Linked DNA regions of Lytechinus pictus. The protein of the gene in region 1 binds, or shares a complex with, the protein of each later gene. Links are inferred from orthologs where the notes say so. Each region holds a gene or a part of one and is shown on either strand. Other genes may lie near its edges. The genes, in order: regulator of nonsense transcripts 2-like and regulator of nonsense transcripts 1-like.

Region 1 (15,848 bases):
ACATTCTCTTCCAGGTCAGAAAGGTCATTCAACACCCAGATGCTAAATGGTTTACCCTAGGAAGCAAAAAATACAATTTACCAGTCATAACGAGTATCTCAGAGGCAATGCCAATGCAAACCAAACGATAATATGCAAGAAATATATTGTGGTAAATGTCATAAATTTTCATTTCGATGTATTGTTAAATCTAAACATTAAAACATATAAAATCAAAATGGATCAATTCATGGATACACCAGACACTTTTGGTGTAAGTGACTTAAAGAAGTTATGAATTCAAAGTTGCGTGGCTACAATTTAACCGTTACAGTGAATTTGTACCAGAAGGTCAGATTATTCATTTCAAATGTCCCATTGCATTATCCTTTCAGTTCACAACATAATTCTCATCAAAACCTTCATACTACTAAAAACTTATAAATTGTGTCCATTGATAAAGCACACATCAACAAACAGACATCTTCAAGTTTAGAAATATAGAAATGTATGCCAAATTTCCTTTCCACTCATCACCAAAGAGTTAAGATTTATTCGATCAATCTCAAGTATATGGAAATCCATCATGTCATAATTTTTTCTACAGGAAATTTGCACAATCTATTTAGTAAACAAAGAGAATCACACTGAATCTTCAAGAGAATGATTGATGTATGAAGACACATCATATCTAGAAAATATTTTGATCAAATTTGCATTATTTTAGATGTTGACGTTGCTGGCCGTCCATAGATGTGTTTGATCGGATCAATTGCAAGGCTTTGTAAGAGGGACCCCAGGTTTCTTCAATTTACACCAGCAGTTCTGAATCACTAAAGAACATGAAATTACTCCTGGGGCCCGTCTTACAGAGAGTTGCGATTGATCCGATCTATTGCAACTATGGAAAGCCAGAAATGACCACATCTAAAATGCATATTCATTCCAAATTTGTTTCTAGATAAGATGCATAATCATACATTCATCGTTTTCTTGAAAATTTGGTGTGTTCGCCTTTGTTTACAAAGGACATTTGGCAAATTTCCTGTAGAAAAAATTATGACACTGATGGATTTCCATAGAGTTGCGATTGATTTGTAAGACGGGCCAAGCTGTACCTTTGTATCTGTTCTTAATGTCTTTCGTAGAAGAACACCCATCGTCACCCAGTCTCCTTCCAGTGCTCCTGTCTTGGAGTAGTGATTTAAAATGCTCATTCTAATCATCTTACGTTCCTTCATCCTCTCTTTCATCACAGCTGAAGATACCAGAGGATTTCTACATAAATCAAACAATATAGAACAGAAATACCATTAACAATACATCCTACAAATTGAAAAAGATACAAATATAAGTTATATAACGGATCAGTGCCCACCTATTGTTCCCGCTTTCGTGCGTACGGTCAGTGGCGTACCGTGGGTCACGGCATTGGGGGGGCACGAGCAAAAATTTTGAGTCACTTAGTGAGCGCAGCGCGCCCAGTTGCCAGGTATACTGACCTAATAGAGACGTTTTAAGGACAGTGCCATTAAACGGATATGTATCTCACTGGTCAAATAATGCGAGCGCAAAGCGCGAGCTTAAAATTTTTGATATTCAGACCTAAAAAAGGACATTATAAAATTCTTTTGTAATCATGATATGTACCTGTCTCGCTAAATAATGCGAGCGCGAAGCGCGAGCTGAAATTTTTGTAAATATTGACCCCAAACAGGAAGATTTTAAGGACTATATTTTAGGAATCCGTTAAGAGTATACACATCTCACCATAGTCATCTAATGCGAGTGCCAATAAGCGCTTGCTGATTTTGTTAGAATTACATCTAAACATATGCACATAAAGCACTTGTAATCATGATTAACATCATACCCATCTCACTAATCAAATCTTGCGAGCGCGAAGCGCGAGCTGAAAATTTAGGAAATTCAGACCTGAAGAAGGGCATTTTAAGGCTTGTTTGTAGGAATTCACGAAGACCATACGTAGTTCACTAACCAAACGGTGCGAGCGCGAGGTGAAAATTTTTGATATTCAGATCAGAAAAAGGAACATTTTAAGGACTGATTCTAGGAATTCATTGAGAGCAGACATATTTCACCAATCCGCTACTGCTAACGTAAGCACGGACAGGAAATGTTTTATATTAAGACCTTAAAATGGGGCAATCACTTTAGTCATGAAAAAGAAGCATACTATTGTACATAAAACAATAACTCGAAGTGCGAGGAAATATATTTGGCAGTTTGGTATATATTGACTTGAAAACGGGAGGTTTTAGTTTTTATCAGGGTTATATATCTCGGTAAACAGACAATGCGAGCATCAGGAGCAATGAAAACATAGGCCCTGAGCAAATTATGTTTCATTAAGTTATGAAAAATGTTTCTTATGTAATATAACATAACATATTATTATGAAATAATATAACATTATAATGAACAATAATGTTTTTTTTCCCACTACGTTTCTCTTCCTTTCTCCCTCTTTTTCTCCTTTTCCCCGTTTTTTTTTTTTTTTTTTTTTGGTCAGCCGATTGGGGGGGCACGTGCCCCCCCATGCCCCCCCGTAGTTACGCAACTGCGTACAGTCCTGGGGATTGGTATAAATAGACTACCGTATCAGATAATTTTCGTCACTTGATAAAGAGTTGCAGCGGCACTCGAAAGCTCGTGAACTTGAAAGCTAGTGAACACTTTTTGCGAGAGTGATAACGAATTTCCTAGAAAGCTAGTGAACACTTTTTGCGAGAGTGATCATGAATTTCCTTGTTGACCATAGTAGATTGCGAGACAAATGAATACCCTCTAGCGATTATTTCATTCCGCAATAATGAACCTATTTAGTATTATAAGTTATATTGTTGGTTCTTATTCCAAAATGACTTCTAGGTCTTTATTCCATTTAAAAAACTAAGTTAATGTCTACAGGAAAGTTTAAAAAAATGTTTTATCCTTTAATCCTAAGGCCTGATTCTTGACTCTCATTAGAGTTAATGAACATCCCATACAAACGAAATCCTGTTTGCATGGAATATACATGGTCTTGGACTTATGAGTTATGACTGTTTCAAGAAAATGGATATCTTGCATTTATAAATTGTATAAAATTATCTGAAGTGTTATTGAATTACATTTGATCATACTCCTTGTACAAATATAATTTGCTGATATGTGAGAAATGGATTTTGAGATTTTTTTTTCATCCTAAGGTACACTTAGTACCAGTGTAAAGACGCGAAATCCTTCTAATCCAGCAAATTACTTCTTGTAACAGTAAAATAAAATTGAAAGAAAGAGTTTACCAATACTGTATACATTTGTTAGAAGATCATATAAATGGCCACAGGTCAAATGGTAATAGAGTACCGAAGTGTGACGTCATCAATTTTCACTTTTTGCATATCAGCGTTTTTGATACCATATTTTGGTAGAGATGAAAAAACCCCACAACCCAAATTTGGGGGAATCGGTCCATGGGGCCCCAAGATATGACCTCACGAATACATAATTAGCCCCATTAAAGTCAACGTATTATTGGCCAGGGGTTGGTTGCAGAAAGAGTTGCAATCAATCGCAACTCTAATAATCATGTGCAACTTGATTTTCAACCAATCATCAGTGCGTATTTGGGACTTGCGATTGATTTTTTTTTACTTGCGTTTAAATGCAACTGTTTCTGCAACGTCCCCCTGGTTCCTAACATTTAGAACCAGGCCAATAATACACTGACTTCAATCGGGCTAATTATGTATTCATAAGGTCATATCTAAGGCCCCCATGGACCGATTCCCACCAAATTTTGGTAGTGGGGGGTTTTCATCATGCTCTACCAAAATATGGTATCAAAAACGTTGAAATGCAAAAAAAGTTTTTTGTGATGTCATCACTTCGGTACTCTGTAAAAAATGACAACTTACATGATGCGAATCCTTGAGAAGTATTCTGTCTCGCACTGTTCCTCCTCTTTGATTTGCTTCCGCTTTGATCCCGCTCCAAGATGTGGCATCGTCTTCTGCGATCCTCCATCCCCGCTGCTGCCTTTACTCACACCACCAATAGCCCCATCACCACATCTAGCCTTACTACTTGGCTCTGGCGGACTGGACTGGGACTTGGGTTCAGAGGTCTTATGAGTCCTGAAATGAGTTTCCAGTTGGAGTTTGCTTGTGAAGCTCTTCTGACAGACTTCACAGCTGTATCGGCTTACTTTGTGCTTGAATTCATGCACCGTCATGGCTTGTCGGTTGTCAAAGGTTTGGTCACATAAATTGCACTTATAAGGAGACACTGTAAATGAAAGACAGAGAGATGAAGAGATTAGTAAGGGGTAAGGTAAGTAATCTTACAGTAAAAGTCAGAGATCATGACTAGGCAGGACTATGACTACAGGCATACCATTCTAAGGAAATGCTGCAATTGCTTTGAACAAGAGGGCATGATATTTGGATCTAAGTATGATGTTATTGACTGATTTTGAGAGAAGCAATGTGGACAATATACATTTCTTATGGTTATATTTAATATCATCATGATCAATATATTTTCATTGTCAATATTATACATAAAAGTGATAAGGTATAAGATAAACTGAATACTGATGAGACTTCATTAAAAAAAAAAAATTTGAGACACTTTAGCAGTATTAGCCAGTATATAATAAGGCATCTGAAGAACTGTGACATGCATACTTCTGGTTATAAACTAATCATGAAAAGCTGCTGAACTTTTGACATATTTGAATATCATACAAGAGATATGCTATTAACTTTAACTTTTCTGAGTTTTAGTTAAGAAAATAACAGACTAGACTAAGTTTGGATACAAGGTTGGTTAATGAAATACAAACCTTTCTTAGGAGGAGCTGTTGCAGTCTGAGGGGTGTGAGCATGACGTTTATTGGTCTTCTTGAAGAGGGACTCGGCCTTTTGTGGCGTCACTTTGCGGACATCTTTCTTCTCTTCATCTTCAACCTCCATCTCATCATCAAACAAGTCTGACAGTCCGTCTTCGTTATCAAAATCTTCATAATCTACAAAAAAGAAGAAGAAATATTGATGAAGATAATTATATGAGCATCTGATATACAACTGTTCACTAAATCATTTATTCTCCATCAAGTTCCACTATAGAAAAGCAGATTGTTAATCTGGAACAGTTCGTTTGAAAGTCCTTTTAAACAAATTGCAATTACCAGTATACAGTGCGTCCCAGAAAAAAGGAAACCGGGTTTCCAACATCTTTTTTCTTCAAAGGCAAATTAATTATGATATTTCATTTACATCATCATACAATTCAATTATTCCGCTACATATTAATACCTACTATGTGACAAACACTCCATGCAGTAATGAGCAAGACGAGTTTGAAATTTTAATGCCAAAATCAAGTTGCGCAGAAAGTTTGGACAAGATTGGTTCATGATACGACACGGTGCTTATTCAACGATTGGCTAATTAGCATTTCTTTTGTATTCTTTGTTCAGTTTCTCTGACTGATCCCTGAAATAAGAGTGGATTCAGATTAACTCGTGAGTTTCTGCACAAATCGTTTCTGATAGGCCTCAATATTTATTGTTTGTAATCTAACATGCATGAATGATGTGCCAAGCTGTGGGTCTTACATTAAAGATGAGATTCCACTCTTAACATAAGTATCAAATTCATAGTAAACTAAAAACATGTTTAATAATTGTGAAATCTATCTCTGAAAACAGGTTTCCTTTTTTGCGAGACGCACTGTACAATTTGTTTTCATAGGCAGAAAACAATTTAAGAATGGCAAAGATAGAAAAAGAGATCATCAACCAATCAAAATCAAGTTTTCCATGGTAGTTACTATTAAGGCAAAATTACTATAATTAAGCTCTTTCTGAAGTGGGCCCAAAAGAAATTTTCATGGACAAAGTATGATAAACCAATGTGCTGGTGGCTGGTAAACTACCAAGGGTTAAACTTGCAGTTCTGTAGACTACATAACACACCTAATCCACACTTCTAAGTATTTTACTGCACTTAATAAAGTTTGCAACCTGAACTCATTAATTAAGTGGAAACTGAAATGACTGCAGAAAAAACTGAGGCACTGCTACATGAGACTTACTTATATTGTGAGATTCCTTCTTGGCTGGAATCGAAGAATCTTTCTTTTGCTTTCGCTTTGGTGTTCGGTCAGCAAAGAGTGCATTTGAAAAGGTTTCTTTTTTAGGACAAGGCTTGGTTGGACAGCTACTCTGTGATGAAGTGGGGGTACCTCCGTTCATCTGAACCATCTGCTCTCGCAACCTTTGCAGTTCCTCTGTAGAGTAAATCAACAGGCGCAAAGAATTATACCATGCCATGATGTTAAAGGAGAGAGACAGAGAGAGTGGAAAGTTTCAGCAACATGTATCAGCAAAGTTTCAAATACCAACTCTACAGAAAGTCAGAAATACTATTTAAAAAAAAAATAAACAATCATGCATATAAAAATACAGATTTTCCCTCACAGAATGCAGGGACTCAGTTTTAAGGGGAGCGAGAGTGATCACTCGCTACCACTCGCCTCCATCCATTTCAGGTAGCGCGATTTATCGCTCGCCTAAGCGAAATGTATTTTTGTGACATAAAATTATAAATGCAGTAAAACTAGAAATCAAGCAAAATCACACATGTACACTTTGTATTATGTATACAACATTTTACTTCCATGTATAATCTCTATTCTGACATCACTTAACCTGAATGTAGAACGAGTGTCAGTCAATGATTGAACTGTTAGTGCCAACCTTATTCTCAGTCAAGGTTTTACAAATAAGACACAATTACACAAGTATATTTAAGCAATAACACACACTTGAAATGAGATAAATATTGTATATATATTAATATGCTTTTCACACTGCACTTTTTTCCTTGACCCTGGGAAATTGGTGGGGCTAAGGGGGGGTCTTAGCCCCACCAATTTCCTGGGGTTAAGCTTAGCCCACTTCGTTTTCACACTACGTTTTAGCAAAGTGGGCTAGCACGGTAAATAGTATGGTACTATCTGGCCCTGCAAAAAAGCAGGATTAGCCGGCTTATTGTGGTGCTAGCACCACAATTGCGGTGCTAAGAGATGCAGTGTGAAAACAAAACAGGGCTAAGGAAAGTGGGGCTAAGCATTAGCCAATCACAGAAGTCGAATTGCACGTTAATCACGCTCTGTATGGTAAAATCATCAATATTCATGAGCTGAGGGATAGTCCGGGTTAAGGCATTAGCCCCGGCTAAGCAGATAGTATGGGGTTAAGAAAGACAGTGTGAATCGAAAAAAAGATAGTATGGGGTTAAGGATAGTATGGGATTAAGGAAATGCAGTGTGAAAAGCATATAAGGGCATCTGATTTTTTCTATCTCCTTTGGTTGTTGGTTGCAATTTAGTGTTCATTCCTCCATCCATTTTGTAATCGGACAAAACAGCTCCATTTGTATGTCAAAGAAGAGCTTTTTGCAGTGCTCCCCTTAAAAGTTTTAGGAGAGCTTTTTAATACTCCCCTCATAAGTGGGCGCGTCGTGGTCTAGTGGTTCTGACTCTCGCCTTTCAAACAGTGAGTTCGAATCCCAGCCATGGCGTGTTTTCTTTCAGCAAGAAATTTATCCACACTGTGCTGCACTCGACCCAGGTGAGGTAAATGGGTGCCGGCAGGAAGTAATTCCTCACAAAGCTGTGCGCACCAGAATCGGTAGACTAGATTGTCCGGGGAATATAGGAGCGCCTTGAGCACCTAGCAAGGTGGATACGTGCACTACACAAATCCTATATTATTTATATATTATTATAATTATAATCTCTTAGAATGCTTAAACATTAATAAAAAAAGAACAAGCAGGCCTACCTATCAACTCTTCTTTTGACTTTTCATCATCCCCACTGCTCTGACTGGATCCAACGGATCTTTTTTTCCTTTCATGACTGGTACCTTGCTTCTTGACTGCTTGTGACACTTGCTGCGAGTGTTCGCTCTTTACTGAGAAAGGATCACCGCTATCATATGGATCCGCATCATCTTCGTCATCAAGGAGTGAAGTGAGAGCATCAAGGTCGTCTCCATAATCCTCACCTGCCATTGCTATCAAAACATGTGATTGAGTTTTAAAAAATGTGTTATCTTGCAATGGCAATTGTACTGTCTTCCATCGGCATGCAAATTGAAATAGTCTCAAGTCGTAATGTCTTTAAGTTTACGTAGTGATAAAGATCAAAACGACTAGTTTAGTAGAATGGGGGTGGGGGTGAGGTGTCTGGACACTTTAAAACTTTAAAGCCTCCTTTTTTTGTCTTAATTTGTATTACTATTAGATCTAGGCCTAACTGTTAAAGATCTACAAAAAAATATATGAATTCAAATTTCCATGGCATGATTGATAGCTGATAGACTAGCTAGTTGCAATTTTCTTCAATTTTGTTCTCTAAGTCTAGCCTAAGTCTAAATAATATTGCTTAGATCTAACGTTAAGCCTGTTAAGTAACGTTAAGCATGTTATTGTTAAGTAACGTCCAACGAACATTCTTAAAAGTTAAATTCAAATCTTAACTAAATTTTGCTGAGTGAGATTTGTTGCCAACGTTGGCTTAAATTTAATTGCTTGATTAAATTATTTAACTTTAAGTTGATAACAATTTCCTAGGATCAACTTAATGATAAAAGTCATAGTTATGTATTAGTAGATCTACCTTGCTTTATAGTACTGCGGTGCGGCCAATGATTCGTTGAGCTTGATCAGTTTGTACCCGGGGTGAAATGACGACCCAGGACCATGTCAGGTGTACATGTATGTACTAATGTAGGACCGGACCGGGCCCGACAGGCGCGGCGCGATCGAGAGGAGGGAGCTCGCGTTGTCCCTCGCGCCCTGGCCTGAGTCTGAGACAAGTTCAACTGAACTTCAACTTAAGTCTTGTTATTACTTCCTCCTCCGCTCATGGGAGTACATCTGCATGTGGTAGTCTGCGATAATAATTTGAGAAATGACTTTGACTCTTTGAATTTGATACAGCAAGAAATTGTCAGTAGGGATTCCAGTCGCGGTAAATTTCAATCATCAAACAACAGAAACAACACAGTTTTGTTTTGCGCGCGCCGATCCAGCCGGCCGACCGGATGTGTGGAAAAGCCTTTTGACCTTTGGATTGATCGCTGATTCCGCCTCAACAATACTCGTAAGATCTGAAATTTGACTCCTTATAACTAATTTATATTATTGAAGGTACCCCAAAATAACTTTAATACCAATCCAATTCCGACTGACTTATATTTAGAGATTGTTGTAAATAATGGAAATACTCTGATAGAGTAAAGTTTAAATGTTTATTTGCCAGTGTAGTCCCGTGTATATCAATTTTTGTGTGGTTGGATGTGATTGCCTTCTCTGTCTCATTGACATTGCGTTTGTTGTGAAATGTTTTGTAAATGTTTTCTATTCCATTTTCATCCATTATGGTCAGAGATAACTTGCTGATTGCTGCAAGACTATAGATCTGCATGATTAAGCTGCCCATGCCATGGTTTACAGGTTAGGGTCTAATGAGTAATGTTGTTAGGAAGTTTGCATTTTGAAAAAATATTCATGACTTTTTAAAAACTTTATTATTAGCCTAAAAATTAGCTAAATTTTTTTAAAGATAAATGAAAGTAGTTGCAGTAAACACTGATTTCACGAAAAAGTCAGTAAAACCAGGCTTAATTGTCACTTTATCATCGAGGACCTAGATCTGGTACAGTTACATTAACTGAACTTTGTGAAATCTTGAAATCTACGCTGAAAAATGTTCACACTGAAGATCACCAACACAGATAATAAGTGCACGTGGGACAGTGTATTATTATTGCTTTGAATGTCGGCCCGACGCTTGACCCGAATCCCAAGCTTATTTGCTAATTTCTCAGCAATTATACAATTTCTTCCAGAATCCTTGGCTTTGGCACATATGTTTTATTTATACAAACAGACACTTTGGTGGTCGTTTCATTGGATTCTGTACGAACTCATTTTGAAATCGTTACCATAACTTAAGTCTTTTTTTTTTAAGGCTTTTAAGCTTGTTAGATTTCTGCAATTCCTTTGTTTCACAAATATTTTGCAAAGGGGCCCAGCCACCATAAATCTACCACTGGTAATACAGCACTGGGCGTTGTGGCGTGCGCCTGTAATCCAAGCTGTGGGGAAGTTACAAATTGATGCAGAGGTTCGAGGTTCGAGCCCTGGTCACGTCTTTCGGATGGTGACGTTAAAGGTCGGTCCCAGACGTAAATAATCATATCTGATTGATACACGTCTGACAAAACTCAAATACACACACACACACACACTGGTCCTATTTTCCCAGGACAGTGACTGCGTGGAATGCGCTTCCCAAAACCATCCGGGGGGGGGGGGGGGGGGTGGGGGTACTCGACCAAAAAAGTGGTAAGTATGTGCCGCGGTCGAAACAAAAAACGGGGGCCTTGGAGCGGGCTTATTGTAAAAAGGAGGGTCCTCGGAACGGGCTTCGGAGCAACAAATGTTTGTGAAAACGGGGGTCCTTGGAACGGGTCGCCTGCGTGTGAGTGCGTATGCATCTCTATGGAACGGGCATACGCGCATGCAGCTTGCCCAGCCACCGGGTGCGCTCTCGCAGAGGCGATGGTCGGAAAGCGCTCTGCGGCTGCTTTTCACCAAAATTGCAGCTCATTGTAGCAGATCAATGCGGCCGGAACGGCGTAACGAAAATTATGCGAAGCTTTGGAACGGATTTCTCTATTCTTTTTTTCTCGATAAGAAGAAAATGTTTTGCTTTGGAGCGGCTTTCTTTGTTCTTTTTCTCACTAAGATAAAAATGCTATGCCTTGGAACGGAAATTTGAGTGTAAAAATGGGGGTCCCCTCCGCGGCACATACCCAAACTCCACAGATATTTATTCAAAATTTTTACCTTAGATAAATTTGTGATATCTACTCTGCAATATGCAATAACTAATTTCACTCAAAAGTTCATAATTAAATTTAGAAAAGAAAAAAATAATAAAATCACTAGACAGCTCACCCCGCTACAAGCCTTGTCGTCATCAGTGTGTTTACTGTGGTTGCATGCACCAATTTGTATATGCACTATTGTCACCTATGAGGTCAATACTGTTATGTATTGACCTCATTGGTACTAGGAGTGATTAGGGCCTACTGTACATTGTATGGCTCTATGCCCAGCTGCCATTTAATCAGCTAGACCAAATGAATATTTAGTCAATTTTCTTGTTTTTTGCCAAAATTTACAGTTGTCAAGTCTATTTTCAACAGAATAAATGCTATTTCTATTTACAACTGAAAAAATTGATACAATTAATCATCAAACAGGGTGAGATTCGAACCCTTACCAGTCTGACAGTACAGCTTTAAGAGTTCTTACTTGACGCCTTTTACCACTCGACCAAGAGCAATCAATGGCAGAAAGAAGTGTTCTAAATGCATTATACCTCTTCTTTGTAGAACCTTGGACCTCTGCATCAAGTTGTAACTCTGCATCAAGTTGTAACTTCCTTGTGTAGCTTAGGTTAAGCTAAAGGCTCATGCCTGTGATGTAGATTGAGATAAATAGATCTGTACCCCTAGCTCACCATCTCTTTTGTCAGATTTATCACCCCACAGCCTACAGACTTGTTATCAAACTTGATATGAAGACAGTCCTAGAAAGTAAACAAAACAACTCTCATTTTATGGATGACACCTTGATGGGATGAGTTTTTAATCGTCTTATAAAATTGTAATCGATATTGGCCATGAATTACTGGTTGATTCTTGGAAGGCAGGATATACTTTTAATCTGTAAATGCTGTTTTTATTTGTCTTGTATAACAAAATTGGTGGGAAGAATGGAGTTATTACTTATCACCATACTGTAAACTCCTTTTCTTACTAAACATCAGACATGTTTGCTCTTCTTTGCTCTGCAGTTGTATTAACAGGTACTTTCATTATTCTGTTTGTTCCAGGATGAATATATGAAAGAATAATGGATCTGCTGAAAGAAGAGGTGGCTGCTGTGAAAGAAGAACAATCAGAGGACAGGGCACTGGATGGAAACCAGACTAACGATCATGGAGATGAAACTCCAAATCTGAATAGTTCAGCGAATGAAAAGCCTCAGTTGGTCACAGAAGATTGCAATACAGACACCAGCCCTAAGGAAAAGGATACTGAACCAGAACAGATCGGAGCGGGGAATGACCAAGTATCAAGCGATGCAAAGACCATTGAGGACTCTTCTGTAGCTGTGGATGACGGGAAAGATGCTGTTACTGCATCCAAGGATTGTGAAGAGCAAGCGCACGATGATGGTGTGAAGGATATGAATAAAGGCAGTGACTCTCAGTCGGACAAGTCAGATAAGGAAACCATTGCTCCCATTCCAATACCTATGCCAAAAGTTTCAAAAGAAATTTCAATAGAATGCGACAAAGAAAATGCTACTTTACGTAAAGAAGAGAAAGGAGGTGACACTGTAGTTGATGATAAGCAGTGCAAATCTGAAGCACAGTACAGTAAAGGGGATACAAAGTCTGATGGGGTTGCTAAGGCAGAACAGAAATCTTTGGCAGCTGACACAACCATTGTCAAAGAAAATAAGCAAAGTGAAGATAAGCCTAAGAAATCAGCTGAGGACAGACCAGGGAAAGTCACTGGTGGTCAAGGCAATGCAGAAACTGACCCACCCAATAAAGAACGCGGAGGAAAGTCCTACTCTGCCCAACGTTCTGGCAGCAGAACTGGCAAGAAGGTAGAAGAGGAACCGAAAAAGTATGGGAAGGTTTCTGCTGAAGTGAAGGCTTCTGATGGGAAAAGTGGATATGATGATAAGAAGGGAGGGCAGACTGGACATAGGAGAGGGAAAGAAAGTGATGTTAGGAGTGAAAGAGGTAACCAGAGAGCCAGGGACAGAGATAAGCCAAGAGGAGACCCTTATAAAGACAAAACATCTTCTGAAAGAAGGTGAGTTGACAGGAACTTTCCTCTTTGAAAGAAAGTTATCCAAATTTGCCTTCAGGGGATCAGTTGGCAGTACTGTCGTGAAAGCTTAATTGAACAATTTTTGTTATTCTTCATGGTAGTACAATAGATATCATAGTCTAATCTTTGTTTAAAGCAGATACCAACCAATATCGCCATCTCGAGTCCTCAACTACTCATACCTAGCCAGTTTCCTGACCCATAATGCTAGTCTAGTCTAGCAATATAGACCCACTTGAATGATAACATGCTAATTAACTACCGTACTTAATACATTTATACTGCAATAATTATGTTACCAAGTAGCAAAACAATTACTTTTCCTCTCAAAACATTTTAGTTTCTCTATACAAATACGATTATTGGTCAATTTATTCTCTGTAGTATAGTAGATATCTGGAAAGCATATATTTTAAGACTATGTTTTTATAACACATTTAATGAGAGACCACACACATGACATATCTTTGTTTCACTTTCCCTTTCCCATTACCTTCTAAATGCACTTTTTAGTAATTCCAGGTTTTCCAGTTTGTATGATTCCATTCAATTTAGTATTTCTTTCTTTATGCTTTCTGTGTAGTACCTTGTAGAACTATTATGAAACCACCAAGGCTGTAGTTTATTTTCATGTTAATGCCCTCTTTGTAAATTTTGCAGAAGAGAAACTGATTCCAGAGGATCAAGAAGACGAGAAGAAGATCATCACAAATCAAGGGGGAGGGAGGAGAGGATGAAGGAAGATGAGGAAAAAAGAAAGAAGGAAGATGAAGCCAGAAAGATACAGGAAGAAATGAAGAAAGCAGAAGATAAAGTGAAAAGGGAAGAGGAGAAAAAGAGGCAAGCCGAAGAGCAGGTAATGGCAGTGAAAACTGATAGTGTCCTCTCACATTCATTGAAGGTTGGCTAAAGTTAATACTTCAAAAACAATACTCACCAACCACTTTCTTAATTCCTTGAAAGTTGGTTTATTCTTGAAATGATAGAAATAATTTATCCAGATATTGTTTTCTTAAGAATATATGTTATGGATAATCTACAAAGTATTTGAAAGGAAAAAAAAAAGTTCTTCGTACTTTCTAGTTCAGTGAACATTTATAACCCGTTGATGTGTGTATACTCTTTCCTTTTCCAATACAGAAACGTCTGGATGAAGAAAATGCAAAGAAGAGAGAGGAGGAAGAAGAGGTGAGATAATTATTTGATTGACTTTTTTTCTGCAATTTGTGTTTATTTCATTGATCTCATTTTTTTTTTGTAAAATACAAATTTTGTTTAATTTGCTTTGTTATGATTGGAGATATTAATTGTGTTTATTTATGCAGTTCATAAGTGGATAATACAAATTTGAACTGGAATTTAATATTCATTTCTATAAAATTACAATGACATAAAGCATTATTTTCATATGAAAAATAAATGTGTAATTATTTTTCGGAGTAATATTTCTACCTTATTCATTTTCTTCACATATTTTTTTTTTTAGAAACATGCAAGGGATACTCATGCCGAGGCACTGGAGAGGAAGCAGGCTAAAATGGCTCTTAGAGCAAAGAATCTTTCTGCAGCTTCTGAGAGACCTGATGAAGATTCCTTTGTCAAGCTAGACTCCAGTCTCAAGAAAAACACTGCATTTATTCGAAAACTGGTAAGGATTTCATCTCAATTTTCCCTTTGGGGATGTGAAATGATTCTGAAGGTGCTTTCATTTTTCTCTTTTCTCATTTGCATTCACTGAGTTGCAGTTATAGGGATTTCATGGAAACGTTATAGAACTGTTTCTTTTTCTAATATGATACAAACTGACTTGGGCATAGTTGGTAAGTAGCCCTGTTGATACCCCCATCTGGGGGATATCTACAGATATTGTGGCTGTAGATTGGTTTATTAAGCCGAACATGGAAGTGGTATGCACCATTACTGAGTGCCCCTATGGAATAATTGATGAAATATTCACAAACTGTTTGTGAATAGCCATGCACCTGCTTAAAGATATATGACTCTGAATCTAACATATTGTTGTTTCAATGTTTATCGTACTTGGGTAATCGCTAACCAACCAAGTGCTGACACAGAATTACTCTAGATTGGGAGTACAAGTTTTAAAAGTATGAAAGTTTAATATTTTTTTCCTTCCAGAAAACTTTGAGTGAGCAGCAGAAAGATTCCCTGACCAAGGAATTCCAGGGGCTCAACCTGACCAAGTATGTCGGAGAGGCTGCCATAGCCTTCAGCGAAGCCAAGCTCAAGATGTCTGACATTGCCTCTGCTGTTCACCTGTGCTCTCTGTTTCATACTCGCTATGAGGAGTTCTCCTCTCAGTTGCTACAAGGACTACAGAGGGTGCTCCCTGCTCCATCCAAAAAAGAGGACAAGGAGAACAAACAGCAGGTATAAACAAACACAAAAACATTTACTCAAGGCTTATCTTCTCATAATGACAGCTATTCCTTATTAGATGATTTGTATGGTAAGAGGAAGTGTGGATATGAAGACAGTCTTGTTTCTTTATTTCTAAGTGAATTATTGGTAGTGCATTCCTGTACTATACTTTTCTTAGGGTTTTCGTGTTTCATGGTATTTTTATTGCTTCTCTTACAATTTTCTTACAAAAGATTTCAAAGCATATTTCTACAAGACTGGCTCTAGATGTAGTGCTAAAAGAAATAATGTTTTCATGAAAAGATTGTAGTTTAGAATAGACAGATATATCAGATAATTTTGTTTGTCTTACCTCAAGTGTTGTAGCTTTTGAAGTTTGGCATTTCTTCTTAATAATAATAATACATGAGATTTGTATAGCGCACTTTCCATCTTGATTAGATGCTCAAGGCGCTTCAGAGCAGAACAACAAAAACTATTTACATAT
Region 2 (16,245 bases), on another chromosome or scaffold:
CGGGCCTCGGACACTTCATATCTCGCCATGTCGACATATCATGTTCTATAAGTCGACTTGGCAAGATAACGTATCGCGCCATGTCGACATATAACTTTTTATAAGTCGACTTGGCTAGATAACGTATCTCGCCATGCCGACATAGTAAGGTTATTATGTCGACATGGCAAGATAAAGTATCTCGCCAAGTCAAGTCGATGGCACTTTAAAGGCTCCGTACTTCACTGATTCATAATAAATTATGCTTACAATAACAATCATTGTACATTGTTTGTGATGAACCAATTTTTAGATTATTGGAGGAAAATTTAATATTTTACATATCAAATAACAAAATAAGATGTGTATTTTGAGAGTGTGTCTTCCTCGACTCCCTTATTTTCATACTTCAACCAATGATGTGTATATCATTGTTTCGTGAAATATGCAAATGTCGAAAAGTCATGAAAACCTTATATATAATCCGATTTTGATGAAATTTTCAAATGTTTTTCAAACTCAGCATCCCAGTGGAGTAGACTTTACACAATTATATTAATATCACTTTATATTAGGTACATTGGGAAATTGATACTGTTTTGGACATTGTTGTACCAGTACTTTTTTACATGTGATGGGGAATTTAGTATTATTTCTTCACGTTGAAATAATAATCTTAGCAATATATGTGTACGCCAACACCAGGACAATTTCATAATTTTCATTAAAAACCATGAAAAATAACCAAGAGCATTCGGGAAAAAAAAAAACCCGTCCTATCGTCCACCAAACAGTGAAAAATGCGATCTTTCCATTGCATCACCTATATACTTCTCCATACATATAAACATTCTTTGGCTGAGGAAAAATACAAGCATTCTGGTTTCAATTAGCATTTGCAACGGGTCTCGTCCCCAGCAACTTATCGATTTATGCAAAGTGAAAGTTATAGAAGTTCCTTACCATCGAAAGGATAGTTCTAGGAACCGACCTTTTTGTATTAACGATCGCTTCATTTGGGGTTTCGGTTAAACAAGATATGGCCGACGAATGTCATGAAATATTCATTCAAACCCTAATATGCCTCTCATTTCCCGTCGCAAATTGGACACCTAACTAAGAACGCGTGAAAGATTTTATTTGTCCAACTTCCGCCGTGATGTGACTTTTAAATATCTCCTTATCGTGTGGGTGTTCCCGTAAGATAATGCAGGCCTGTACGATGACTCGGAAACGCCAAATTGCATTTTCTTTTTTATTCGGTACAAATGTATAAGAAAATAAGCTGGATACGATTAGATTGAAGTGATGGTAATAATTTTTATCTAGGGGGTAAATACTCTTGTAACGAAAGGGTGGGTGAGGGTGCGTCGCGTTCATGGCGTTAAGAGGAATCCAACCCTTCTATATACCAAAGCCCCCCCCCCCCCGGTTTTGCCGAAAGGGTGCGCTTATGCGGTGGGACTTTATTGATTTAAATACACCATTCTAAATAGTTTCACCGAGTTGGACTTCGATAAATTAGCTTGGAACCCTTTCCCATCACACATCCAATGATTGACTCATTCGAATCGTTTTGGTCATCATGCATAATAGTAGACTTGTTAAGAGGTTGAACGCTGCATTTTTTAGTACAAATGTCCCACTTGGCACAAATGTTCCTTGAGTCAAAAGAAAAAGATTCATCCAAAGAGACACGCTGTATCTATGCAAATAAGCAAGTAATTTGCATAAATTTACATATTATGTCGATATAGTGAAAACAGGTATTTAAGAATATATATTTAACCAGAACTGCCCTAAAATTGGAAATAAAGACTAAGGGTAAGAAAGGGAAGTAAATTGTCATAAAATGATTGGGATATCCTTGTTTATTATTACCTAATTTACATGAATTATGCAAATTATGATTTAAAACAGAGTATTTTTTCATGAATCCTGAACTGTTTTTATAAATAACAGCAATTAATGCACAATATCAACATTCTGCATGAAAGAGAATATATTAGCGAAAACATCGATATGCTCCATGACAGTATTAGTGTCTTAATTTGCTTAGAAAGAGGGAAAATATGTCAAAATGTATTACGTGATATTGCGCTAAAACGAGACCAAAACAAACCTCTATATCCAGTCACACTAACGAATCCGACAATAAAGCGATCAATGGTATGTCATTTGAGATAACACAATCCTAACACAATAGCTTGCATCGGCTTCTCGTATCGCTTTTGTTGGTGTGTCTGCCACACCGTAATCTTAATCTATGGTATATACGGGCAAAATGCATTTCGGTATCGGTAAAACACCATTTGTTTTATTTGTTTCTAATTTGTTTCTCTTGGAAAATTTACAGGAGACATTTCTTTGCAGGTTACTGCTTTAATGAAGCTCTGGCACTTCAAAAATGTATCATGACGAATGTACCCCCAGCTCAATCCATATTTTAACTGTATTAAAATATCTATCTTTTGGAGACCCCGAAGTGGCAAAACTGCATTCCCCCGGCATTCCTGCTACTTTACAAAACCAGTTTGACTTGTATTATCGACTTGGAAAAGACAGATGTATGAGACATCAGTCAACATGTTTCCTGAAGAAAGTTTTTGGTTTATTTCAGCCTACGCCAACGGGAGCCCTCCGAATTTACCCCATCCCCTCCATATTTCGACACTAAATAAAAAAATATCGTGTTTTAGATCCACCGGCAAGGCAAATGGCGTTTTTTGGTATAATAAAGCAACTTTTATATTCATATTTTTATATTAATATTTATTATTATTATAGTAAAGGCTATAACCCAACAGGAGCATGCCTAGGATACCCCTTCCCTTTTGGTTTTATGTATCAAAAAATAATTTATTGTCTTTAGAACTCTCAAAAGATTATTTTTGTTTGTATTGATATCTTGGAATAGATTAAGGAGAAAATACTCTACAAGTGACATGTAGAGGAGCTGTGGTACATTGAAGAACAGCCACACGTAAACTCTTAACTGCTGAAACCCCTTTATTGATTCCACTCTATGTTGAATTTAAATATTTTTAGAGCCCAGTCGGAAGAAAGATGCATTTCTACTACACAGTAAAGCCGCTTTACATTCTCCTCTTGGAAAAAACAACATAGAAGGCATTGTTTTATATCGCATAAAATAAGTTCGTGTACATGACCATGATGACGGTGGCCTGTCGAAGTTGCCCAACCCTTTATTTTGTTTTGACAATATATATTTAGAATATCGTCTAAATGAAGCCCTCATCTTGAAAAGGGCACTTATTAAAGGCAGCATCTACATTATATAGAGGCCCTGGCCCTGGGAAGCGGGGGCTGAAGCACCCGCAAGATTTTCGGGGGGGGGGGTTGCTGCGTGTATTATCCTCCATAGACAGCACCCCCTGGAATTCCGGCAGATGTGACAAAACGAAAAAAAAACGTTACCAAAATAACCTTCATTTTGTAGTGCATTCCTTTTTGTTTATTTGCTTGTTAAATTTCTTGGGACCAAAATTTTACATTGAACCTTTTTTGCTTTTCAAATTTACATCAGCACCCCCTGTTAAAATCGTTCACAGTGCCTTGGAGGAGGCATTGTTCTAGTGCACAGGCTATATGAAAATAAGAAATTCTGGCAAATTAAAGCCTACTTCTAAGGGAGCTAGTTCCCCATCTCTTTCTATACTTTGACTATATTGAAATATTTCATGTTTTTTGTAGCCCCCACGGTGGCAAAAAGGCATCTTTAACACCTAATAAAGCAAATTTTAGTTTTATCGAACCTCTGTTTAATAGATAGAGGTGGCGTTGCTCTGTCGATTTCATGTTATAAGTTAATTACATCCTATTCTACAAAGGAGCCTGCCTGTCGAAAGTATTACATCTCATTCCGAATTTGACTCTATGTTTGAACCAGCGTCCTTTTGGAACTCTCAATTGGGACAACCGTCATTTTTTTCTACATGGAAAAGTCACTTCCATTTTTTTTTAATTGATTTTTAAAAACATAGAGGGGACACTCTGCCTGTCTGCAAGTTACAGGTAGAGAAAATCCGGCACATTGAAACATATCCAACATCGTGTGCCTGTCGAAGTACCCCCCCCCCCCCACAATTCTACATATTATATTACATATTATAGATAAATATAGGAGGCATCATTTCACAGGTAGCATGTAGAAAATTCATGGTACAGAGCGTACCTTCATGGTTCCCCACTCCTTTCCATACTACACTTTTTAAATCCCCTTTGGGGCCAAAAGCATTCCTCTTACTTTTTAATAGTTACCATGGCTAGCTTATGTATAGTAAAAGCACATTTTCCAATGGAACCTCATATTTAGTATTACATTACAAGAAGATAGTGGAAAATGTACCAATACCCATCTAATTGAAAGAATATGTCTATGTTACGAACAATGTGTGCTCGTGTACTAGAAATGCCATGGGGGCTCCCATTGGGAAATGCTTTGATGTTCCAAATGCTAATGTAACCACTAGAGTAGGGTCTTCTATTTCTTATCCAAGAGAACAATGAGTATTGAAGTGGTTTTACAGTGTAGCAGAATTTGCAGAAATGTAATCAATAAGATAATTAGTCGTGTAACTTCTTATATATAGGTTTCGATGGGGATAGGCTGTAATTTGTCAGGATTTCTCTTCATTCAATCTTTATGCCTCCTTTATCTTCTTAGGACGTTGATGAAAATATAAGCTGATTTAATATTCAGAAAAAGCGCCCCTTTCACAGAAGGGGCGTTATTAAAAGGATACTTAAAATAGACTTATATAGTCAAAGGAAAGTGATGGGGCTACTTTGACAAGCAACAAGAAATAGTATATGGTACAGGCTTCAATGTACCAGGACGTCTTTTAATGCAACCTTTAGTCCTCTGTCAAAAGATTAGTGGAAATGATAGCGATAATTTCGAATAAAAATTATATAACTCTTGATATTGAGAAAGGGGTGGGGAGTACCTTCTAGAGGCTCCCAATGGGGTTAGGCTTTGGATACCAGAACGTCATTGCATGTAAAATGCAAAGCAATGTTTTACTTTTCTCCATACATAACAAGAAATAAATTGACAGAATATAATGTTACATAATACAAAATAATAAGCATAAATAAGAAAATGTTTGAAGTGCAGAGTTCCCTATAAATGACATCGTATGTAGGTAATTCATTTGACTAAAACGGCTCAAAATACGCATTAACAGAAACCAGAATAAAATTAAGTACAAAAACTGCAATAATGCCCTTTTCCGTCTTTCTCTAATTTTACCAAGAGCAGAGGAGGTTTCATAAATATAAAAACTTGTTTTGCTAACTGTGGCAGCATTTAAAAGTTTTAGACCGTGAACTCTAAAACTCTAAAAGTTTCTTAACTGTGGGACCAACTTTTGTAAATATAACCCCTATGTATATGTTAGAAGAGAATCAATTTAGTTTATACAAGCAATTAAATAATATTGTCTGGAACTATATAATTATATCAACTGTGATTAGCATAATATGAAAAGTTGCGTAGTTATATACCCAACAAACTGTTCTATCTGTATTTACTTTTCTCTTTCATGTCATAATGAACGTTAGTTTTCATTGTGCCACAATGATAATTGGGAATCAGATATAAACTGCGAAAATTAGCCATTTATATTCGAATTTGCATAATGTATGACAATTTATGCATAATTCATACATAATTTATGCAAATTAGACGACAATATTGATGGATAAATGTTTTCTTTTCCTCCATCCATAGAACGTTAGTACTGCCATTTGAATAAAATGCCTAATTTTTGGTAATTGAAGTGTTTTACACTATTCATGGAATTAGTATAAGTAAACTCATTAGTATGTATTTATGGTAATAAGTGGTCATTTGCATAGATGTAGTTAATTCCTTGTGCCCGAATACTTTATAACAACCCTTTTTAACACATATATCATTATTTATTAAGTTTAAATCATTCAAAATCACACAAAAGCTTCATACAGTACTAATTTGAATAATTTATGCAAATTATGCACTGAATATCACAAACAAATGAATTTAACGCAAATATTGAATATTACAAAGATACAGTTTTATGATGTATAGTTTCTTTTCCTTTCATCATCATAAGATTGTCCCGAGTAAGACATGTTTTATTATTAATGCGGTTTTTCTAATGTTCAGAGCATTTTGCAGCTTTATGCATGAATTATGGTAATTAGGGATTATTTGCATATTTCAAAAAGTTTGTTTGTTCAATGTCTTTCCCAAACCCTAAGACACATTTCTCGATTTATTATTTACATACCACATTTATTGATACTTTTATTCAAATTAGATTATCCAGAATCATTTGAAAAAGAGGCACTTTTTATTGAAAATGTGTATAATTTATGCAAATTAGGTAATGAAATGTATGGTTACCGCATTTTTTTTTATTAGTTTTCTTTTGCTACCTCCACACAGGCTTTGCATCAAATTTGACATTTCTATGAAGTAGCTTTACATTTTTAGTAAATTACTCATTTTAGAGGCTAATTTACATAATTTATGCAAATTAGGGTTAATTTGCATAGATACAGAGTGTCTCTTTGAATAAAAATTTTCCAATGGGTTCAAGGAATATACATGCCAAGAGGCACACATTTGTACTAAAAAATGCAGCGTTCACCCTTTTTTTGCAGTTAACAAGTCTACTATAAGATTTAGCAAAACAAATATACAATGCAGAATACCGAGCCTATAGCTGGCGCTAAAGAGAAATGCTGGCGAGCAAATATTTAGTCCAAGTTTCGAAAATGCTTTTCTCTGTCTATAGGATGATGATGAGGTATAGGTCCTAGTGTATGGGACTGTGGTTGGGTTTTTCCTCTCAATTCGGGCTGAAATTAAAAACATAATCTACAATCTATAACACGAGCAAATGAAGGCATTCCAAGCTCATCAATCAGTCATTCAACTAGCCCATGGAAGATGAATTAGTCTTGTCTCACATCATCTGTAATAATAATAATAATAAAAAAAGAATAATGATAATAATCGCTATAGGGTATTCATTTGTCTCGCAATCTACTATGGTCAACAAGGAAATTCGTGATCACTCTCGCAAAAAGTGTTCACTAGCTTTCTAGGAAATTCGTGATCACTCTCGCAAAAAGTGTTCACTAGCTTACAAGTTCACGAGCTTTGAGTGCCGCTGCAACTCTTTATCAAGTGACGAAAATATTTCCTTGTTGACCATATTGGTAGTAGATTGCGAGACAAATGAATACCCTCTAGCGATTATTTCAATCCGCAATAATGAACCTATTTAGTAGCAGGCAGGATCTGCGGAGATAATAGTTAACAGTTTTTTCGCAAGATAAAATGTGTAGACAGTAAAAGCGAGATTGAAATCAACCTATATTTATTATGCACTTGGTTAAGTTAATTAATTTACAGCTGCTCGTTTAGAGAAAAAAAACATTGATCAACTTTTAATCATTATATTAGAAATTTAACATCGTTATGAATTATACATAAATATGCATATATGATATATATATATATATAATTGTGAAGAGCAGGGACCTATACATTGCGAGGTGCTTTCTAGTATATATTTGAGAGGATGCTATAATTATGTAGATACAGCGAGAATAAAGCAATCAAACGTAGCCGGGGTTCAGTTCATCAAGTTTATTCACAAGCTTTCAGTCATTTTTGGGGCCTTCTTCTATGTATACACAGAAGAAGGTTACTGCAACTTAAGTATAGGCTAAGTTATGTCGTAATTTAAGTCGTTGAAGTCAATAAGAATTGGCAGCCGCCTTATGAAAATCTATAAAAAGACGTCTTAAAGAATATCATTATATATGTGTAGGCAGATTCTATATGAACGGTTATGGACTCGTATTATACAAAAAATAGGTTTATTTTTAAGGATATTGGTTTTAAATATGTACATAATAATAAGTGTATGTGATCGCGAGAATTCACGTGTCATGTGCTTACTCATGTGAATTTTATGTACATATTTAAAACCAATATCCTTAAAAATAAACCTATTTTTTGTATAACACGAGTCCATAACCGTTCATATAGAATCTGCCTACACCTTATATGATGATATATTACAGTATATATATATTATTTAAGACGTCTGTTTATTTCATCAAAGGAATGCACTATTTTCAATAATGGACTTGATTGAGGCTAAAAATGCCAAGTTGCGTTGCTCGCGCGCAAATCATCACGCATTTTCAAGTACACGTTTGGTTTCTATAATTTTCTGTGTATAAATGCATGCAAATCAAATACTGTACCTGTCCAGTGCGCGCGCGCGTTTGGTATATGGAATTGCATTGCGACAGACACCGTGGAGATCCTTTTGCCTACCTGGATTTTGATGCTGGTACCGGACTGTGAAATCTAAAATATTACGGCTGAATAGTCATTTTACATTAATTAATTTAAAGAGGCAGTCTCATTCGTACCATATGTGTTCATTGTACTTTGATTGAATTGTTGATACAAAGGAGAACGGAGAGAAAATGAGCGTAGATGCCTACGGACCCAGCTCGCAGAGCTTGCTCACGTTTTTGGATGCGGAAGAACATGACCTGCTGGGAGCCGACACACAAGGCACAGACTTTGACTACAATGTGGGGGATTTTACATTGCCTTCACAGACACAAGCTTCTCAAAGCCAAGCATCCCAGTTGGATTTGGCTTCACAATCTCAGAGTCAGGTAATATCACTAACCTTCAACAAAGTTGTCATTGTCATTCATGGCATGATGGGCTATGGCATCACCTCGGCCTCGAGTCGACCGTCGTTGGGACGTTGATCGCTGCCTTAATGACTCCGTCAACAATGACAACATGGTCAACGTCATCAAGAGAGATCTAGAATTGGAAATCTACTATCTAGAGGCCTAACTTAGAGTAGTCTAGTACTCTAGACTAGATCTAACGTTAGAGTCTAGTACTACTAGGACCTAATATTTAGTAGTAATAAATTAACTAAATAAAGCTAAAGTCGAGAATTTCCAAACGACTTTAAATTCAAATAAACTTTGTTTAATCATGTTCTCTGGTTAGTATAGTCTACTATTACTAATACTAATACTTACTAACCTCGCATTACGTGTGAGTGCTCTGGTTCTGTTGCAGCTAAGTACTGTGCATGAATGACAGTTTAGTAATTTTGCCATCCAATGTAGCGAGGAGGCTCCTGGAGATCACTCACACGTATTGCGAGGTTAGTATTATTATTAGTATACTAACCTCGCACCACGAACCGCATTTGGCAGTGGATTTCTAACTAGTGGGTCACGCGTGCTGGGATCTCACTTCTTGGGTCCACAACACACGACTTCTATGGCTTGATTTTTCTGTGCGCGGCGGCGTGTAATGAACCCTTGGGTGCCTGGAGATGAATGTCATATCACTGACGTGCTGAATCTCCATGGAGCCAGGGAGGGGATGTCATTGCTCTACACGCACCGATGAATTGGGCAACAATAATGTTGCTCCATAATACTAATTTTCTAGGGTTTTGAGCCCAAACTTCTGTAAATGGGCTACAGTATAATATTGGTTTGCAACTTTTGAACAAAAATCATTGTTTTTTTAGTACAATTATGCTTAAAATAGAATCTACATGAAAATATTAAAAGTGGAGCAGCGTTTACTCACAGTCTGTTAGTATATCGCCATCTTGCCGTCTTTGTTATCGTTGCCTAGCTACAAAGACGGGTATAGATGGCGACAATATCATGAGATAAAAAATACTTGCATCGGCCGATAAATATCATGAATCGTAATTCATGATATTTATCAGCCGATGCAAGTAAGGGTCCACTGATTGCATGAGTTTCAGTCTACTAACATGTAATCATGATCAAAGGTCATTAAGAAGTAGAGCAATGAACTTTAATCATGTTTATTAACCAATAACGTTAATTTTGTTAAAGTTGTTAATGAAACAAAGTTTCTGAAATGTCTTCATATTTCATAACTTTGAAAAGTATGATTGTATAAGGACCTATTTCATGGAACATGTACGGTTCGCACTTCGCAGGTCACTTGATAAAGGTCAAAGTTCACATAGGGTAAATGAACCTTGACCATGTTCTGCTACCAATATCATTGACATTTTATAGGCTTCTACATATGTACTGGTACACAACAAAGTTTTGCATGCATCGTTTGATCAACTTTTTATATTTTTTTGTTGCAATGTAGGTGGATGCTAGTCAAACCAATGGGATAGATGAGTCTGTGGCTGCTGTAGGACAACAGGTCAAAGAATTGACCTTTGAGGAAGATGAAGAAGATGCGACTGTGCTCTCCAAAGATTTGCCCAACCATGCCTGCAAGTAAGTATTGAAACAAAGTCCTCATTACACATCATTGAACCAATTCCACTATGAGTACTATAACTTCACAATGTCTGCAAAATGTTATCACTTAGTCTGCTTTGAGTATTTACACTATTGGACATACATGTTTTTGATTGAATCACTTGTGTCAAGATTCCATTCAAAATTAAAATGGTTTTATCTGAAGAAGAAAATTCAGAGGCTTCAGCGATTATCTTACAATTTTGATAATTCCCTCAGTCAATTCTGAAGGAAGTATAAGTTCTGAAAATATAAACCACCCTTAAGGCCAAGGGTTTGTAGTTGCACTTTCATTAGGAACTTGGGCATGGATGAATTATCACTGGTTTTGCTTTATTTCATCAGGTACTGTGGCATTCATGACCCTGCTGCTGTTGTTCTCTGCAATGGAACCAAGAAATGGTTTTGCAATGGACGAGGAAACACCTCTGGCAGGTAAGTTCTACAAATCTTTATACTTTATAGCCTGTAGTTTAATTCCCCCCAGATTATTTTAATTTGTATTTCACAAAGGAAATTACCATGTAGGGATTCAGTTTTCTTGCAATTTACATTCTTTCTTCCCAGTATGAATAATTTCCTTTATGTGTTCACATGTACCTTACCTTAACCCCTAAGCTCAAGTTCTACATCTTGTATCTGGTGCAATTCAAGTCAACTTTATATCAGATAATCTGATTTGTCTTTTTTTTATGCTGCCCACTTTTATTTTTTTGGGGGGGTGTTCATAATTTATGTTTACTGTTTCATATTCTTGGATGCTAAATAACATTCTCAGTCATTTTAAATTCCTATCAGCTAATGTTAAAATGTGAATTTGTAGATCAGAATTTGCAATGCTTATGATTTGAACAAATTGTTTAGGGTTAAAAGAAAAGTATATTCTCTCCCACTTCATTGAGACACTGGGAAAAATAAGTGCAAGATTACATGTGTACCAGTTATTTGTAAAATATAGAACCATGACACAATCCCCTGGAATAATTGCTGGCAAGTTTTGGTTTGCAACCTCTCTTCTTTTTTTTTTTTACAAACCGAGTCATGGATTCTGTTCTTGTCTGTCCCATTTGATTTTATCTAGCCATATCATTAACCATCTTGTGAGAGCCAAGTGCAAGGAGGTGACCCTCCACAAGGACAGTCCACTTGGGGAAACCGTTCTGGAATGCTACAACTGCGGATGCCGCAATGTCTTCTTGCTAGGGTTCATCCCAGCCAAGGCCGACTCTGTGGTCGTTCTGCTCTGCCGTCAACCCTGTGCCACTCAGAGCAACTTGAAGGATATGAATTGGTACGAATGGCGCCAAGAAGAAACCTTTCAAGATATTTCTCATTTTGCTTGTACTTTTAGATGCATTATCATAGAGGGGGGGGGGTATCTAGTAAATTTCATAGTAATGTGAAATATTGTTGCAACAACCTGTATTTATTTGTATACTAATCATTTTCTATATATTTGTAGAAGAGTTGAAAAATATTCAGCTTCTTGTTTTGTTGATTTATGTTTTGATTTAAATTCATGCTTTTCATGGTTCATGTTTTTGGTTTTCAATTTCACAAAGAGTATACAAGTTCCCAATCTATGTTTTTATTAATATACTGATAAATCCACAGTTCACATGTCTCCAGTATTGATTTATGTTGTGTGCTGTCTCCACAGGGATCCAAGCCAGTGGCAGCCTCTAATCCAGGATCGATGCTTCTTGAAGTGGCTGGTCAAGATCCCTACTGAGCAGGAGCAGCTGAGGGCACGTCAGATCTCTGCCTCTCAGCTCAACCGCCTGGAGGAGCTGTGGAAGGAGAACCCAGAGGCCACCCTGGAGGACCTGGAGAAACCAGGAGTAGATGAGGAGCCTGCCTCTGTCATGCTTAGGTGACCTTACTGACCTTCATTCTGTATCGCAGGGGCCCAGTTCATAAAGAGTTACAACTCATTATGGCAACTACCACGGTAACGGGGTTCCGCAGCCAATCACAATAAAGGATTCCGTGGTATTTACAGTAATGGCAAATCACATTAAAAAGTGGGGTCCACTCCAGATTAAATTAACCTCTGCTCTATAACAGTGGTTTAACTAGGGGTAGCCAATGCAACACAAATCTCAAACAGTGGAGGTTAAAAACTATGGTAATCAAAGCATTAATGATTGTCTGGGAATGATAAAAATAGTTTTTTTCACCATGGAAGCACAAGCAAATAACACAGTAAACAAGACTTAACATATTTTACTTCCCATAATTTTAGCACAGACTTATACCATAGCCTGTGGACACCTCTGCACAGGACACCATTCCATTAGGGCAGGTTTTCAAGACAACTGCTCCCCCTGAAACCATATCTTAGGACCTGCAGTCTGGCAAAATATTAGAGCATAGTGGCTTATCTAGTAACTGAAGTTTTGCGCAGATTAGAGTTTTTATTCTTGCAACATATTAGAGCATGGTGTAATGTTTTAATAGGAAGCACATCTTTTTTAAGTTTTCAAACAGATTGTTATACTATGTTCTGTTTTAGGTATGAGGATGCGTACATGTATCAGAATATCTTTGGACCTCTTGTCAAGATGGAAGCTGATTATGACAGGAAGCTGAAGGAGACCCAGACCCAAGAAGGGGTCACTGTACGTTGGGATATTGGTCTCAACCGCAAAACAAGAGCCACTTTTAACTTCCCCAAGAAAGAAGGTTAGTAAAAATTGATCTCTGCGATATTTTCTTGCTGATATTTTTTTTTTTTTTTTTTTTGCTTAAGGGTTCAGTGTATCTGTAATCAAGAATATATTTTGGGTTCAATTTTTTGAAGATTTTTCTTTTTTCAAAGGTCAACTTCCCTCATTTCTCCCCATTATCTGTTGACTAAATTTTTTCATATTTTCCCACTTCTCTTCTTAAAGTGTTCTTTAAAACTGTTAAAAGTTCAAATTTTTGTTCTGCTTTTCTATGGCACAAAAACCTTATACATGGGTAAAAAAAATTGATATTGATAGACTTTCAAACTTGACAACACTTGAAACATTACCAAATTGAGGGCTTATACATGGATGTTATATTATTTCATAGAACAGCAGTAATCAGAGTGAAGATTCTGGTACTTGTAGGTGGAGTCCATAAATGTGACCAATTCAACCTGTACAGAATTCAAGCTTATAGATTGTGATATTTGATAGAACAAGTGTCTATTTTTCAGTATGTTATGAAATTTGATTCATTGTGTATTCTAAAGGCAAAAACAATGCTTTTGGGTTGACGATGTGAAATTGACGTTTGACTTGTCACACAGATCTGAAGCTGATGCATGGTGATGAACTGAGGGTCCGCTACACTGACCCAAGAGAGCCCTGGTCTGGTTTAGCTCATGTGGTCAAGACTCCAGACAGTATCCTTGAATTGATATTGCTAACAAAGTATGGCCTTTAAGTGAATTAAAGCCAACTGCAAGTGCAGTAGTTGCAGTAAGAAACAATTTATAAAAAGGGTGTGTTAAGATCAAGGTGTCTGTTATCATATCATCATGGTAAGTTGTGACGTAGTTTATGCAAGCCAACATGAATAGGTTCATGTGGGCATGTGTTATATCATGGCTTGGAGAAAAGGCCTGTCTCATGGCAGAATGCATTGTTTATTGGCTAGTCACTGAAAAATCATTGATTTGGCATAATCAACAAACATAGAAAAACTATTCCAAGCAATAGGTTGAGAGTCACTTCAATATCAAGGAAAAGAACAAGATTAACTAAATAGATACATGTCTTTCTGTCTAATCCATGTAACTTTACATAAATGTCTGATGGTGAATGATAATTACTGAGCAACTTATTCTGTTGTATTGGAATTATTTGGGGCGTAATGTTTATCAATACAAACACGTGTAGGCACTTTGTTGGGTTTTATTAGAATTTGTATTATTCTGTCGATCACATCATGAAATACTTTGCTGTGATTGTGATTTGTTTAAACCTTTTAATTTTGGCAGGAAAAAATGCTGATCTCATTGCATTTTTTTCCATTTCATAAATGCTTAGATAAATTTCTTTAAATGACATAGTTCATTGAAACATGTTCTGAAACACATGATGCACATTTTGATCCATGTAAATATGTGCCGTCACAGTTAGTTTGTGGCAAATATTTTCTCCATGTAATCCTTTAACGACAACCTAACAGACTACAGCGATGAGATCTGTGTGGAACTGAAAAGCAGCAGTAACATCCCTGTCAAGTTCACCACCAACTTTGCGGTTGACTTTGTCTGGAAGTCAACATCATTTGACAGGTGAGTTCATCATATTGTAGGCCATGCCTGACTTTTTTTGTTCAATTCCAGGTAACCTACAATATCTCTCATTGTGCTTCACTCAACCCAATTGAGATAAATGGGTATCGTAAATGGCAGGAATACATGTATATTTCTTGAACTGCAGGAGCATTTAACCTCTCTGCCAAAGCGATGGTGATTACTTGTATGCTGCAATATTGTATAGTGCCTTAAAAACTTCTGATAATGTATTTCATTTGTGCTATAGAAGCAAGTTTGATTATGATTAAATGTTGATATGCTTTATAATTGATAAGATTCAGTATTACCCCTTGAATAATGACTAGTTCGTTCCTCAAGGAAAGTGAATGTTATCTTTTTGTCTTCTCACAGAATGCAGAATGCCCTGAAGACTCTAGCAGTGGATGACACTGCCGTGTCCAGCTATCTGTATCACCGTCTCTTGGGACATGACGTTGAGAACCTAGTCCTCAAGTGTAACCTACCTAAGCGGTTCTCGGCCCAGGGCCTCCCTGAGCTCAATCATTCCCAGGTGTCAGCTGTACGCACTGTGCTCACACGCCCACTAAGTCTCATTCAGGTAAGTTGGTTTATTGCCCAAATCAACAAAATGTAGATTTCTTAAGTGCATGTATTGTAGTCTTGAAAAGCTCGTCCTTGCTAATCAGCTATGTGGAAAGACCATAGACTTAACCTGAACTAGGCCAGGGTATTTAGGGATATCATATGAGGGGGCCTCCTGGTTAAACCTCTTTTGTGAATTCGGCCAATGTGTTTAATATCGACCACTGATCGGGACTAACACTGAGAAAACCTCAACTTATTTGTATCCTTTATTTCAGTTTCAACCTGTAACAATATTTCTTTTCTTTTTTAGGGACCACCTGGTACTGGCAAGACTGTGACATCTGCTTCTATTGTCTATCATCTGGCTAAGCAGGGAACTGGGTGAGGATTCACATTCATTATTCAGTAAAGATGAAAACAAAGATAAAAATTTACTGTTCTAAAGTCCTAAGTCCTATACACTTGCAATAAAACTTGGAGAAAATTGTTTGAGAATGTAAAACATGGAATGTAAATTATGATGCTATTATTATTACTATTATTATTAAATTATATTGCAGCTAACTCTTACCCAAAGCTAGGATTGTTGCTGAACTCATTTCATGTAATTTTGACTTGAAATTATGACACAAAGCTATAAATTTGTTTTTATTTTGCTGTTATTTTCAGGCAAGTACTGGTGTGTGCTCCTAGTAACATTGCTGTGGATCAGCTGACTGAGAAGATTCATAAGACTGGTCTCAAGGTCGTCAGATTGTGTGCCAAGAGCAGGGAGGCTATCGATTCACCTGTCTCTTTCCTCTCCCTCCACAACCAGGTAAATATATGAAGGGGGTTTTCGCACACACACACACCCCCCCCCCCCCCCCCGGAAGACTGGAAATTCATCCTAACCGATTATCTGGAGACTGTTTCAGCACTGACAAGTTTTTATTATCTGACTGTTCCATAGTAAAGCCCCCGTCACACTTATTCAGAATCAGCAGGAATCAAGCAGAAACAGCTGGAATGAAAATTTTTCAAAATTCGAGCCACATTCAGGAGGGAAT

The links.
Region 2: the proteins of regulator of nonsense transcripts 2-like (region 1) and regulator of nonsense transcripts 1-like are in contact, whole or in part, in a crystal structure (PDB 2WJV), measured with the Homo sapiens proteins. The link is inferred for Lytechinus pictus from reciprocal best matches to the Homo sapiens genes UPF2 and UPF1. Residues at the interface, in NP_056357.1 of Homo sapiens: Val1105, Cys1107, Glu1109, Asp1110, Phe1113, Ile1114, Ala1116, Leu1117, Met1120, Met1121, Asn1124, Leu1125, Arg1128, Met1169, Pro1170, Phe1171, Val1172, Met1173, Leu1174, Thr1175, Gln1181, Lys1184, Leu1186, Asn1187, Val1188, Pro1189, Ser1192, Gln1193, Leu1194, Asn1197; in NP_001284478.1 of Homo sapiens: Asn150, Thr151, Ser152, Gly153, Val157, Asn158, Leu160, Val161, Arg162, Lys164, Lys166, Pro175, Leu176, Gly177, Thr179, Tyr184, Cys188, Asn190, Val191, Phe192, Leu193, Phe196, Pro198, Asp202, Ser203, Val204, Val205, Val206, Leu207, Cys209.

The regions. Positions count from the first base shown.
Region 1 is NC_087247.1:9,484,290-9,500,137, reverse strand, and holds the start of regulator of nonsense transcripts 2-like, read left to right. Parts: upstream 1-8,775; 5' UTR 8,776-9,159; intron 9,160-11,964; 5' UTR 11,965-11,984; coding exon 11,985-12,961; intron 12,962-13,639; coding exon 13,640-13,835; intron 13,836-14,119; coding exon 14,120-14,167; intron 14,168-14,465; coding exon 14,466-14,627; intron 14,628-15,118; coding exon 15,119-15,370; intron 15,371-15,848. Other genes in the region: protein MCM10 homolog, read right to left, coding at 1-56, 1,098-1,257, 3,900-4,269, 4,829-5,011, 6,082-6,276, 7,835-8,066. UniProt on the Homo sapiens protein: Involved in nonsense-mediated decay (NMD) of mRNAs containing premature stop codons by associating with the nuclear exon junction complex (EJC).
Region 2 is NC_087249.1:22,492,791-22,509,035, reverse strand, and holds the start of regulator of nonsense transcripts 1-like, read left to right. Parts: upstream 1-8,253; 5' UTR 8,254-8,499; coding exon 8,500-8,697; intron 8,698-10,195; coding exon 10,196-10,329; intron 10,330-10,698; coding exon 10,699-10,788; intron 10,789-11,434; coding exon 11,435-11,644; intron 11,645-12,013; coding exon 12,014-12,226; intron 12,227-12,868; coding exon 12,869-13,038; intron 13,039-13,633; coding exon 13,634-13,729; intron 13,730-14,517; coding exon 14,518-14,626; intron 14,627-15,001; coding exon 15,002-15,209; intron 15,210-15,506; coding exon 15,507-15,577; intron 15,578-15,865; coding exon 15,866-16,013; intron 16,014-16,245. UniProt on the Homo sapiens protein: RNA-dependent helicase required for nonsense-mediated decay (NMD) of aberrant mRNAs containing premature stop codons and modulates the expression level of normal mRNAs.